Linked DNA regions of Sus scrofa. The protein of the gene in region 3 purifies or fractionates together with the protein of the main gene of each other region. This does not show direct contact. Links are inferred from orthologs where the notes say so. Each region holds a gene or a part of one and is shown on either strand. Other genes may lie near its edges. The genes, in order: KPNA6, HNRNPM and LMNA.

Region 1 (4,394 bases), on a different chromosome or scaffold from region 3:
ATGAAACAAAAATACCAATAACCTGGTGTTCAGAAAGACAAGGAGCAAGGTGGGGTCGGGGGAGGTGCCTGAAATGTAGTTGCAGAGAAAAGGGCTGCCTAAAAGTCCCCTTCAGGACCTTGGTCGGGTTTTGTTGCTCTACTAAAGAACTCTCAAAGTCTATCGGAAGGAGTTCTCGTCATGGCGCAGTGGTTAACGAATCCAAGTAGGAACCATGAGGTTGCAGGTTCGATCCCTGGCCTCGCTCAGCGGGTTAGGGATCGGGGTTGTTGAGAGCTATGGTGTAGGTTGCAGATTCGGCTTGGATCTGGCGTTGCTGTGGCTGTGGCGTAGGTTGGCAGCTACAGCTCTGATTGGACCCCTAGCTTGCGAACCTCCATATGCCGTGGGAGAGACCCTAGAAAAGGCAAAAAAAAAAAAAAAAAAAAAAAAAAGTCTACCAGGAAAAAGACTAGCTTTAATCACACCTTAAGTCTTAGAGGTTTATGAATAGCAAAATGGCTAAGAATCTCAGTTCTGGCATTGCTGTTTTACTGCCTGTGTTATATTCTCTGAGGTAGTTTCCCAATCTGTAAAAATTAAGGGGCTTATTAAACTATATATTAGTTCCTCACCTTTGATGCAGCAGTGTTCCTAAAATTGAAGGCCAATACAAAATCTATGACATAAAATCCCCTGAAATTTTTCATTGATACATAAAGTTACAGTTACAAAGACAAGCCTATCAATCTTTTTTTGGCCATGCGCGTGGCATGCAGAAGTTCCCAGGCCAGGGATTGAACCTGTGCCACAGCAGTGACCCAAGTTGCTGCAGTGACAACCCACATACTTAACTCACTGCCACAAAAGAACTACTGATATTTATAGAGCCCTTCCTAGTCTCCAAATACTGACGTATCTTATTTAGTTTTCAAACACCTGGATTCCCTTCCCTCTTCCTAGAGACAAGGAAAGGAAGTCTCAGAAAGGAAGGAAAATAACATTTACTGTGGATTGTGCTAGATGTTTTCCATATGTATTTGACATTTAAGTGACTGGATGAGAGCTAGGGAGGGCATAGCAGGTAGGATTATAACACCAGATCTGATTCTAAAGTTATTGCTTTGCAGTTCAAGGGAATAATTCATGTTTCCTCAGGATGGCAGATCTTACAAAACTCAATCCCAGAATCTCATTTAGCTCCCCCACTCTCAACACACACGATAGTTAGGGTTAGCAATTTCACTTTGGAGTTTTTCAGTTTCTTTCTGATTAAAAAGTGAGTCCACTAGCAGAAAAACAAAACACCTTTACAACTTTGCCTAGGATTAAAAGCTTTCTTTCTCCCTTTTCTAGCCCAACCACTAGGGGGCCAGGCCATAAAGAACAGCAGCTATAAACTAGCTAGGGCTAGTGATCACCCCGGTTTAAGCCGCTGACTGTGTGACCTTGGTTGAGTTACTTTACCTCTCTAAGCCTCAGTTTCCTTATCTGTAAAACGAGGATAACAGCAATATCTATCTCAATAGGTTGTACATATTATATAAAACGTGACATGTAAAGCAATCAGAACAATGCCTGCACACAGGAAGAGCTTAGCAAATTTAATAGTTTTTATTGCTGGAGAGGAAGTACCCCTGATGGTTCTGTTCCTACGTCCAAAGACTTCGCCACCGCATTCTGGGCACAGGCCTTGCTAGCTGGAGTCCCCTTAGGAAGAGCAACAGGTCGCTCCTTTTCTCCTAAGCAGTGCCGGGCCCAGAGACCTAAGGTCTCCGACCTATATATGGCTACGAGGTGTTGGCAGTGGTATTCTACCACTATGAAGGCTGTCACTCTGAACCCAACCGAACCACCCCATTTCCGCCTCGGCTCTGGAAGTTTTCCCGGCCTTCGGCGGCCCAGGCTGCATTCGGCAAGGCTGCCCCTGGTTAAGGGCCTGCAGCCGGCTCGGCAGGCGTCCCTTAGCCCTAGGACTCCCTCTGCGACGTAGGCAGGATTTGCCTGAGTTCAGGGGAACCAGTGAATCTAATTAGGAGGCGCGTCGGTCAGACACACGCCTGGAGAGGGCCCCCTTAACGCCGCCCGGGCCTGCCACCAGGAGCCCGGCCCCCAGCCCCTGGCTCAGAGCAGGCCGGAGGGTCGGCCCCCTTCCAGCCCCCGGGAACAAGGGGAATCCAGCCCAGAGCCACCACGTGGGGGCTCCAGGAGTAGCAAGGTGTTCCTGGAACCAGCCCCCCAAAGACTGATCCCCGCATGGGCCCTAACCCGGCCCCAAACTGGCCTGAGCAGCGCTCCCGGCCTGGCTTCTCTCCCTCAAACCTATTTGGAAAGACTAAGACATCCTCTGCAGACTAGAGACAGGCTCTCGCCAGACCCCAAGCCCCGAGACCGCCTCAGCCCGAGTCCCCAGTTGCTTGGTTTCCTTACTCACCCATCGCGGCTCCGCTCGCTCCTACTTGGCGGCGGCAGCGGCAGCAGCTTCAGTAGACAATATGGCGGATCTGCAGGACGGCAGCCCGAAACGGACAAACAACTTAACACTCGATCCCGGGAAGAATCGCGCTTTCAGCTCCACCGCCTAGTTTACGCAGTGGAGCGCATTTAAAGAGACAGCAGCTACTAAAGGCGGAGAATAGGGATGGACTATGATGAAAGGGGTGGGTGGAGGGAAGCTGGGAGGGATATCTACTAAAGCGAGTTAAGCGTGCTTAGGGTTTCTCAGTTTTTTTCTGGTTCTGTTTCCTCTTTGTAGTGAGGTTTACCTCCCCTAGAAACTTTTTCTTCCAGAAAGATATTCCTACCTTTCCTAGTTAAAAAACCACGCCTAGATTCTGAGCTGGGTATGAAAAAAGAATCATCTGGAAAGGGGAAGTGACTTGCTCAAGGATATAGAGATAAGGAATTAAAGAAGTCTAGAGCAAACCCAGTTACAATCTTATTGGGAGATAAGAAGTAGAAAAATAATGAGACCCATGCCATGCTTTATAGTTGACATAGCTGTTTAATTTATCTTCAATGCAAGTTCTCTGAGAGCAGAGGTCGATCCTGCATTGTTCATCATTGCGATTCAGCACCTAGCATAGTATGTGGTACATGGTAGTGCACCATAAGTAATTGTTGAGTGAATAAACAAAGGAGTGAACAGACCTGTGAGTTACACAAAACAAGGAGTATGATCTCCCTCTTTATTTGTTGTTGTTTGTTTTTGGGGCTGCACCTGCACCTGCGGCACATGGAAGTTCTCAGGCTAGGGGTTGAATCGGAGCTGCAGCTGTCGGCCTCCGCCACAACCACAGCAATGTCAGATTTGAGCAGTGTCTGCAACCTACACCACAGCTCATGGCAACACTGGATGCTTAACCCACTGAGTGGGGCCAGGGATCAAACCCTTGTCCTCATGTATACTAGTCAGGTTCTTAATCAGCTGAGCCACAATGGGAATTCCCCTCCCTCTTAAGAGGTGAGGAAATTGAGGCTCTGAGTGTTCATGTGTCTTTTGAATTATGGAATTTATGGCTGGTATACATTAGGTCTGCCTTTTTGCATAATAGCATGACAGTCCTCTCCTTTCCACACAGGAAAGCTATGTCTCCCAGTCACCTGTCCCCAGAGGGAGCTATCTTTTGGAAGCCTAGGTCCTGTCCCAACAAATTGCCATCTCTAGTTATATACCTGGCACATTGAGGGAGACAACTCAAAAAGGCAAATCTAGGATTTCCTGCTGTGGTGCAATGGGTTATGGATCTGGCATTGTCTCTGTGGCAGCATGGGTTTGATCCCAGCCTGGCACAGTGGGTTAAGGACTTGGTGTTGTCACAGCTGTGGCATAGGTTGCAGCTGCGGCTGGGGTTCGATCCCTGGATTGGGAACTTACATATGCTGCAGGTGCGGCCAAAAAAAAAAAAAAAAAAAAAAAAAAAAAAAAAGCCGACTCTAGGACTCAATCTGGAACGGAAGGGTTATCTTTCTCTTCCTACTGCCACTGCTCAAGGTCAGAATTCTTAATTCTCTGCTGGCCTATTTTACCTGCCTCCTCACTGGTCTCCTGCCTCCAGGTTCTCCCACTTGCACCTACTATCTTTTTAAAAGTAGAGACCTTACAAGTTCCCCTTGTGGCTCAGTGGAAACGAATCTGACTAGTATCCATGAGGATACAGGTTCGACCCCTGGCCTTGCTCAGTGGGTTAAGGATCTGGTGTTACCATGAGCTGTGATGTAGGTCACAGATGCGGCTTGGATCTATGGCTGTAGCTCTGATTCGACCCCTAGCCAGCGAACCTCCATGTGCCATGGGTGTGGCTCTAAAAAGACCAAAAAACAAAACAAAACAACAAAAAAAAGTAGAGACCTTATCACATCACTTTCCCCCAAATATGCTCCTGTCTTGTTTTGTGCCTTTGCATAAGTTCTTC
Region 2 (4,132 bases), on a different chromosome or scaffold from region 3:
TTGCTATCCCACTGCCTTTTAGGTTTACAGCACACTCCACTCCTGATGGAGACAAAGGTAAAAATAACCTAGTTTCACTCACTTCCCATCCCTCAAAGGCTTTCATGATAAAAATCTAAATGCCTTAGCCTGGAATTCATTGCCCACCAGCTGGCCCCCAGTGTTCCAGCAGTTTCAGTTCTTTACAAATTTGCAAAGAATATATCAAAATCCCTAGTCTTTGGACACTCCTCTTTGACTCTTCCCTATCACCTTTCATCCTCCTCCTCCTCCTGGAAGAACATCTCCTGCCCATCCCCCAACAAGTTGGTGGGGGGGGAGGGGAGCCCCTTCATACCCATACCTGGTTAACTCCTTTTACCTCAATCACAGCACAATTACCTTAATACAAAAATATTCATTAGCCTCCCCTTATGAGCATGGGCTTCATTTTCTAAAGACCTCTGTTTGGGGAGTTCCCCTGTGGCCAAGCAGGTTAAGAACCAGACTAGAATCCCTAAGGATGTGGGTTCCATCCCTGGCCTCACTCAGTAGATTAAGGATCCAGCGTTGCTGTGAGCTGTGGTATACATCGCAGATGCAGCTCTGATCCCCCACTGCTGTGGCTGTGGTGTTGGCTGGCAGCTGCAGCTCTGATTCAACCCCAGACTGAGAACTTCCATATGCCGCAGGTGCAGCCATAAGAAGACAAAAAATAATAATAATAAAATTTAAAGAGTTCTACTTCAAAAGCCTCATAATGCAAAAAAAGGGAAACAAAAACCACAGTTTTCCAGTGGCCCTACAAGAAAGATCTAAGTGTTGTTAACTTCCTAAAATACTCTCTATTAAGCAGTCCCAGATTCTTTTCAACTAGAGCTCTTTTGTCTTGAAAACCTTCAGATTCTAATGTGTTATGTTTGTCAAATAAAAGTCACAATATGACTATTTTGAAATGGACAGTAGAAAATGGGAAAGTTGAAAAATGTACCCCAGATGTTAAAATCTGTAACTGATAACTTCTCAGCTAATACAGTTCTAGCAGCACTCCATCCTGTGATAACTGCTTTGATAGGAGAAAAAAAAAAAGGAAATCAAATGTATCTTCCAAATACAACCCTCAAAAATCCTACTAGGCTCCCTACTAGGTAATGAAAAAAGTCTAGATGAACAAGGCCCTTTCCAGAGCTTTCAATAATAAAGGGTTGGGAATACTTTCTCTTTATTTCCAGGGACCAGTAACCATGGTATTCTGTCCCCCACCCCCAAGTTTAGCAACATGGCTATTATTTAGTGAGTGTTTATTAACAAAGTTCTTTAACTACATTCACTTTTACTTCCCACAAACTCTAATGATGCACATTAAAAACTTGTGTAAAGACAAATTCAGAAAAGACAGAACGCCTAACACAGGTAACCAGGAAGAGAGGGAGATGGGAAGTTATTGTTTAATGGCTACAGTTTGTTTGGGATGATGAAAAAGTTGTGGACATGGACACTGGTGATAGCTGCACAATACCGCCAACACACTTGATGCCACTGAATCGTACACTTGAAAATGATTAAAATTGTACACTTGAAAATGATTAAAATTGTAAACATCTTCGGTTGTTACAATTCCCACCCCCCAATAATTTTTTTTAACGTCCATGGGAAATCAAATGCGCACCCAGGCTTCCCCTCTCCTCCCCCCACAGCTGCTGGTCGGGGCCAAAAAGTCTCTCCGCATTTTTCAGAGGCTGTAATCACAATGAGTGGGGTTCACGAGAACACAGGACGTTACTTTAAAGTGTTAAGAAAACCTTAAATACCAAGGACCCAAGAAAGAGCCTCAAACAGGACTCGAAAAGGTGACGGAGTTTGGATTGGGTGAATCCGCCTAATGATGGAAAACCTTCTGGAACACGGAAGAGGATGTTTCCCTTTTATTCCCTACACTTTGTTTTTACGGCTGAACACTGAAGAACAAACGGTTCGATCTCTTCACAAATACCTACTGCGCACCTGGGAAGGAGGTGAGGGACCTGAGCCTGCGCCTGAGCGTCGGGCAAGGGGCGGTTCCGACCGAGGCATTTCCCGCGAGGCGGGGGCGGGAGGGGGGGGAGGGGAAGGCGCGGGGAGGAGGTGCCCCGAGCCGGCCTCGCGGTCCTTCCCGGTACCTACCCGCCTCTGCTACCGTTTACCCAGACTGACCGCGCGCAAAGCCCTGCGTGCGCACTCCCTCCCCTCCCCTCCCCCCACTTTACGGATCGAGAAACTGAGACCCCGGGCGATAGGGAAGGGATGCGAAACCACGCGCCCAAGGTCATCCGATAGGCCAGCGGGTCGCGGGCTCTCAGACTGGTCGGCTTCTGCGCCCGCGCGCCATTATCCCCGCACGCAGAGTCTGGGCCTGAGGCCTCGGCGTCGGCGTCGGATCCGGCCTAGAGGGACCGGAGAAGTTGAGAGCCGAAGCATGGGAGGAGGGAGCGGTCCTGAAGACGCTCCCGGGGCCGCCCAGCTTCACCTCTCACAGTCTTTGACGCCCCTATTCTCGGCAGACCCTGCCGGGAAGGCTCGGCCAAAGCCGCGCCTGGAGAAGGCCGCCAACAGACCTAACGGAGCTGCCGCCGACCGCCGTGAAAGTGCCCGGCCTGAGAGAAGCCATAGGATACTCACCCTTTCGGGCCTGGAGCTCCGTTGCCGGTCGGCACGCCGGGCGCGCCGCTCTCCTCCTCCATTTTAGGCTCTGTCGCCGCCACCTCGGCCGCCGCTTCGACCCCTGCCGCCATTTTCTTCGCGTCTGGGCTTTGTGTGAGCGAGCGGGCTGCGCGGCGCTGCGCCTGCGCGCTCACATGACCCGGCGCGACCAGTAACGCCTGCGCGCGCCGCGGCGGCCTCCGGCCTCTTTCCCTCACGCCCCGGGCCACGCCCCCCGCCGCGCGCAGGCGCAGACCATCAGCTGTTAATTCATTCTCGCGTTTGGCACCTCCTGGATTCACCATCCGCTCTCGAGGTCTGGCAGGGGAGGCATCCTTCCATTCCCCTACCCGGACCCAGTAACTCCAAGGTATCTGCAAACAGAGCTGGGGCAGAAGGGCAGCGAAATACTATACTAGGCTATAAGCGAGTTAGCCAGGCAAGGGTAGGACACTGAAGGGCCAGGCAGTAGGACAGATGTGCAAAATGCTCTCTCTAAGCAAGTATCCTGCACCAAGAATACCTGGGCTCTATCCGACCTATCTCCCCACCGCTCTAAGAACTCCTGGATGCAGAGCCCATGGACTAAGTCCCTCTCACCGAACCCATCCATTACAAGCCAAACGCATGACTGGAGACTTAGTATGTGCTTATGCACGTTTCCTGAGTGAATGAAAAAGCAAGAAGCCAAACGTGATAGAGATCACATAATGGAAGAAATGGTGGGGTCCTTGCTGCCTGATCTTGGGTCCCTCTGTCTCCCTTCCCCAGAAGCCACCCCTATCTGGAACTTTGAAATGCTTTACTGGATCTTGCATGAGTTCCCACCTAACCACCAAACTCTAAGCTCACAAAGGAAGAGATGTGGAGTTCCCGTCGTGGCGCAGTTGTTAACGAATCCGACTAGGAACCATGAGATTGCGGGTTCGGTCCCTGCACTTGCTCAGTGGGTTAACGATCCGGCGTTGCCGTGAGCTGTGGTGTAGGTTGCAGACGCGGCTCGGATCCCGCGTTGCTGTGGCTCTGGCGTAGGCTGGTGGCTACAGCTCCGATTCGACCCCTAGCCTGGGAACCTCCATATGCCGCGGGAGCGGCCCAAGAAATAACAAAAAGGCAAAAAAAAAAAAAAAAAAAAGGAAGAGATGTTTTGTTTTGTTTTCCTCTCCCTCTCACTGAATAACTACATTTCCTTCCACTCTGGGGGACTATCCCACCTGCCGCATCCTCCTCCAAATAAAACGCTTAATTTGGGCTGGTATTCTGAGTGGATTAAGAACTTCAGTCCCAGAGAATAAACCCAGTAGCCCAGCCTGATCCGGAGGCTAGGCCCCACCCTCTCCTTTCAGCTCCCGTTCCCACAGACTTCCCAAACTCTTCAGACTCACAGGTTTCCTTCAAGATTGCCCTTTGCAAGCCCCTCCCCTCCTAAAATCTCTGATCTACTAAAATCCTCTGTTCCTTTTTTTTCCCCCCT
Region 3 (3,610 bases):
GGAAAGGGGGAGCCTGTGGTGGAAGAAGAGTGAGTCACCCCATGGGCACCAGCCTCAGCCCTCCCCCCACCTTCCTGGATCTGCCTACCTGGCGCCTTCCCTTGCTTTAAGGCAGCTTTACCTCTCTCCCCTATCCTTTGCCCACCCACTCTCACCCTTTGGCTCTGCCCTCTGCCCCCCAAAGGCCAGAGGTAGTGGGGACAAGCTGGCAACTTGTCAACTGGCAGTGGGGACAAGTTAAGCCGGCAGGGACCTGGCTGCGCGAGCTTCAGCGAAGCCACAGGCAGCTGGGGGTGCGCTAGAGAGGGTGGGGCGCCGACTCCGCCAACGCCGGGCAGTCCTCACCCCTCCCACTCTCACCCCAGTGGGTTAGAGACGGCCCCTTTAAGAGCAATGGCCCCTCCTCCCATTCCCTAGACCTATTAGAGCCTTTGCCCAGGCGCCGGTGACTCAGTGTTCGCGGGAGCGCCGCATCCACACCGGCCAACCCAGATCCTGAGGACGACAGCGTCTGGCCCAGATCCCCACGCCTGCCAGGAGCGAGCCGAGAGCCAGCCGGCCGGCGTGCTCCCACCTCGATCAGTCTCTGTCCTTGGCCTGAGCCCCGCGCCCTTCCCGGGACCTCTGCCCCGCGGGCAGCCTTGCCACCCTGCCGGCCATGGAGACCCCGTCCCAGCGGCGCGCCACCCGCAGCGGGGCGCAGGCCAGCTCCACCCCGCTGTCGCCCACCCGCATCACCCGGCTACAGGAGAAGGAGGACCTGCAGGAGCTCAATGACCGCTTGGCGGTTTACATCGACCGTGTGCGCTCACTGGAGACGGAGAATGCAGGTCTGCGCCTTCGCATCACCGAGTCTGAAGAGGTGGTCAGTCGCGAGGTGTCTGGCATCAAGTCTGCCTACGAGGCCGAGCTCGGGGATGCCCGCAAGACCCTCGACTCGGTGGCCAAGGAGCGCGCCCGCCTGCAGCTGGAGCTGAGCAAAGTCCGCGAGGAGTTCAAGGAGCTCAAGGCACGGTGAGTGCGCCCAGGTGGCGACATGCGTCATGCGTGGCCGCCGGGGGCGGGGGGCGGGGGGATGCGGAGAGAAGCAGAGAGGGCCCGTCGACCGTCGCCCCTGCCCGGCTCCAGGCTGCCGGATAACTTTGCCTTATAGTCTCCTCCCTCCCCGGAACCGCCCCCGGCGGGTGACTGGCAGTGCCAAGGGAAATTGTCAAGACAGGACAGAGAAGGGAGGGGTCCTGGGAGAGGGTGGGTGTATATAAGAAATGGTGGAGGCATCAGGGCCAAGTAGGAGCTGATGGCAGGCCCACATTCTGTCAGGGTGGGATTTGCCAGTCATCTGGGGCCTGGGGGAGCACCTTGGGCCAAGGGGAACTGGCCCTGCTATGTCTAAGAAATCTGGGCACCCAGGACACTTTGGAGTGGGTGAAAGGGCCCTGTTAGAACTTTCTTGGCAGGCTTGGCACGATGCCAACTTTGCCTAGCCTGGCTCTGAACACATGACACCCACTTAGACAGAGATCTCAAGCTGGTGGATAGCCAGTGGTGCTGGAGAGAGATCGCCAAAGCAGAGCTGACTCCCTTTTACCCCTGTAGGGGCATGGCGACGGCCCCCTTGGCATGACCTTTTCCAGGGTTCTTTCTAAGAGTTGGGAAGCTCTCCCTCACTCCCGGCATGTCTGGGATCTTCTCTGGTCTCTGACAGGCCAACCAAATAGCTCCCGGAGAGCGGCTCCCCCGCAGCTCCCACAGCCCTTGGCCTGCTTGGCCCAGGAATGCAAGGGAGGGAGGGAGACAGAGGGCAGAGGCTCCCAGCTCAGGAAGTTGTGCTAGGCCCAGGTCTGCACCCTCCAACTCTCCCCACCTCCCCCTACCCCACTCCCAACCTCTGTCTGGAGTCTTTGAGGGCTGGGGGCTCTGTCTCTCCCTGCCTCCCTCCTTGGGGTGAGCCACTTTCATTTTCCCAACCAAGTCCAGCAGTCTTTGCTCTTTTGCTCTGGCCCGTCCTCTCAGCCACTGACGTGTGGTTTTTTTGGTGGTTTTTTTTTTTTTTTTTTTTTTTTAATCTTTGCTTTATTAAACTACTGGAATATAGTGACATTTTTGAAATCCAGCCGTTGGAAGCTTTAGGCCACTCCTACCTCACCCATCCCTGCCCCACCCTGCCGCACCCTACTTGGCCCCTCCCTCTTTTCTAAGACAGGCCTTTGGAACTGGGAAGTTTAGGCCCTCTGCAGCTCCCCAAGAATTTGTTTCCCTCCTCTCTGGTCTCCTTTTCTCTACTCAGACCTCAGCCAGAGAGCACTAAAGGTGCTTGGAGATCCCTGGTGGAGGAGTGGGGGGCCCTATGGTTTGGCTTCCCTTCTTTGCATCATCTTCTCCAGACCCATGCCCTTCTCTGAACCACTCTGTATTCCGCGTTCTTTATACCCCTTGGCTAGCCCCCAGCCCCAGGCGAGGTGGCTGTGGCAGATCCATCCCCCCTGTGAAGGGTGATGGAAATTGTGTGGGGAGGCAAGGTGACTTTATTTCTGTTGAAAGGGATCGCTCCTGCCTTTGTCCCTTTAGTTAGGCGGACAGACAGGAGGCCAGCTAGGGGAGTCCTGGAGTATTGGTGTTCTAAATCAGTCCACTCAGCTGCCAAACTGCTACCTTGCAAGATCCCTGTGAAGGGCATTCTTAGCAGATCTTTTTTCTGGGGAAGACATTGATCAGGGAACAGAAAGAGTGGAGGCTACGGTCTCTCGCTCACTCAGCCACTCCAGTTTGTCTCCTCTGTCTCCTGGTGCAGCTGTCCCGGCTGGGACACCAGGCGGGTGTGCGCACACGTGGGGCAGGGCCGGGGGTGGTGTGTGTACTTGTTATATTTAGCCACCTGCCTCTCCTCTCCCCCACTGATCCTGGCAGGGGAGGCTGGGCTTCCGGAAAAGGGGGGTGGGTTTGCACACCTGGATCCTAGGCTGATGGGAGGCAGGGTGGAGGCATAGGGGGCTCCGCCTGGGGTATCTGTCCCTTTCTACCTCCCCCACAGGGAGGAGCCAGGATTCCTTGCTCCCTTTTCCGTCTGGCGTGCTCAGGGTGAGGTGAAGAGTGGAAAGAAGAATTTGGGAGAGGAAGAAAGGCATTGTTCTAACTCCTCCCACTAAAGCCTAGAAAGAAGGTGTTGTCTGGTTTAATGTTTAATTAGAGCTCAGAGTTCAGGGCCAGACTTTGGGTTGGGATGCAGAGTTATCTGTAAAATCTTGTGGCAATTCCTGGCCCAACCTGGGTAACTTGGCCACACCCTGGGACTTGAGGCACCCTTTCATTAGGCTGGGTAATAGGCTCTGAGCAGGACCCCCCCCCTTTCCTGCACCCACAGACACATCCACACGTCCCTCTCTACCCTGGAGCCTGAAGGATCTGGACACCTAAGTGCAGGAAGACTGAGGAGGTTAAAAACATTAGGGAAGGCCTGCCTGGGGTTCAGGCTTTAAGCTAGGCCCCACCCTAGGCAGGCCGGCTGAGTGGATGACTCACATGCTGCCCCCCCTCCCTCCCACCCTGGTGGCTTTACAAGAGACAGCAGGAGACAGAGTGGGGACAGCAGATGGCTTAAAGGGAAGGATGG

The links.
Region 1: the proteins of LMNA (region 3) and KPNA6 purify together in Homo sapiens (affinity purification with mass spectrometry; 4 studies listed by BioGRID and IntAct, with this or other methods). This does not show direct contact. The link is inferred for Sus scrofa from reciprocal best matches to the Homo sapiens genes LMNA and KPNA6.
Region 2: the proteins of LMNA (region 3) and HNRNPM fractionate together in Homo sapiens (co-fractionation; 3 studies listed by BioGRID, with this or other methods). This does not show direct contact. The link is inferred for Sus scrofa from reciprocal best matches to the Homo sapiens genes LMNA and HNRNPM.

The regions. Positions count from the first base shown.
Region 1 is NC_010448.4:88,609,544-88,613,937, reverse strand, and holds the start of KPNA6 (importin subunit alpha-7), read right to left. Parts: upstream 2,811-4,394; 5' UTR 2,418-2,810; coding exon 2,414-2,417; intron 1-2,413. UniProt on the Homo sapiens protein: Functions in nuclear protein import as an adapter protein for nuclear receptor KPNB1. Binds specifically and directly to substrates containing either a simple or bipartite NLS motif.
Region 2 is NC_010444.4:70,856,022-70,860,153, forward strand, and holds the start of HNRNPM (heterogeneous nuclear ribonucleoprotein M), read right to left. Parts: upstream 2,821-4,132; 5' UTR 2,751-2,820; coding exon 2,638-2,750; intron 1-2,637. UniProt on the Homo sapiens protein: Pre-mRNA binding protein in vivo, binds avidly to poly(G) and poly(U) RNA homopolymers in vitro. Involved in splicing.
Region 3 is NC_010446.5:93,916,235-93,919,844, reverse strand, and holds part of LMNA (prelamin-A/C), read left to right. Parts: intron 1-417; 5' UTR 418-658; coding exon 659-1,014; intron 1,015-3,610.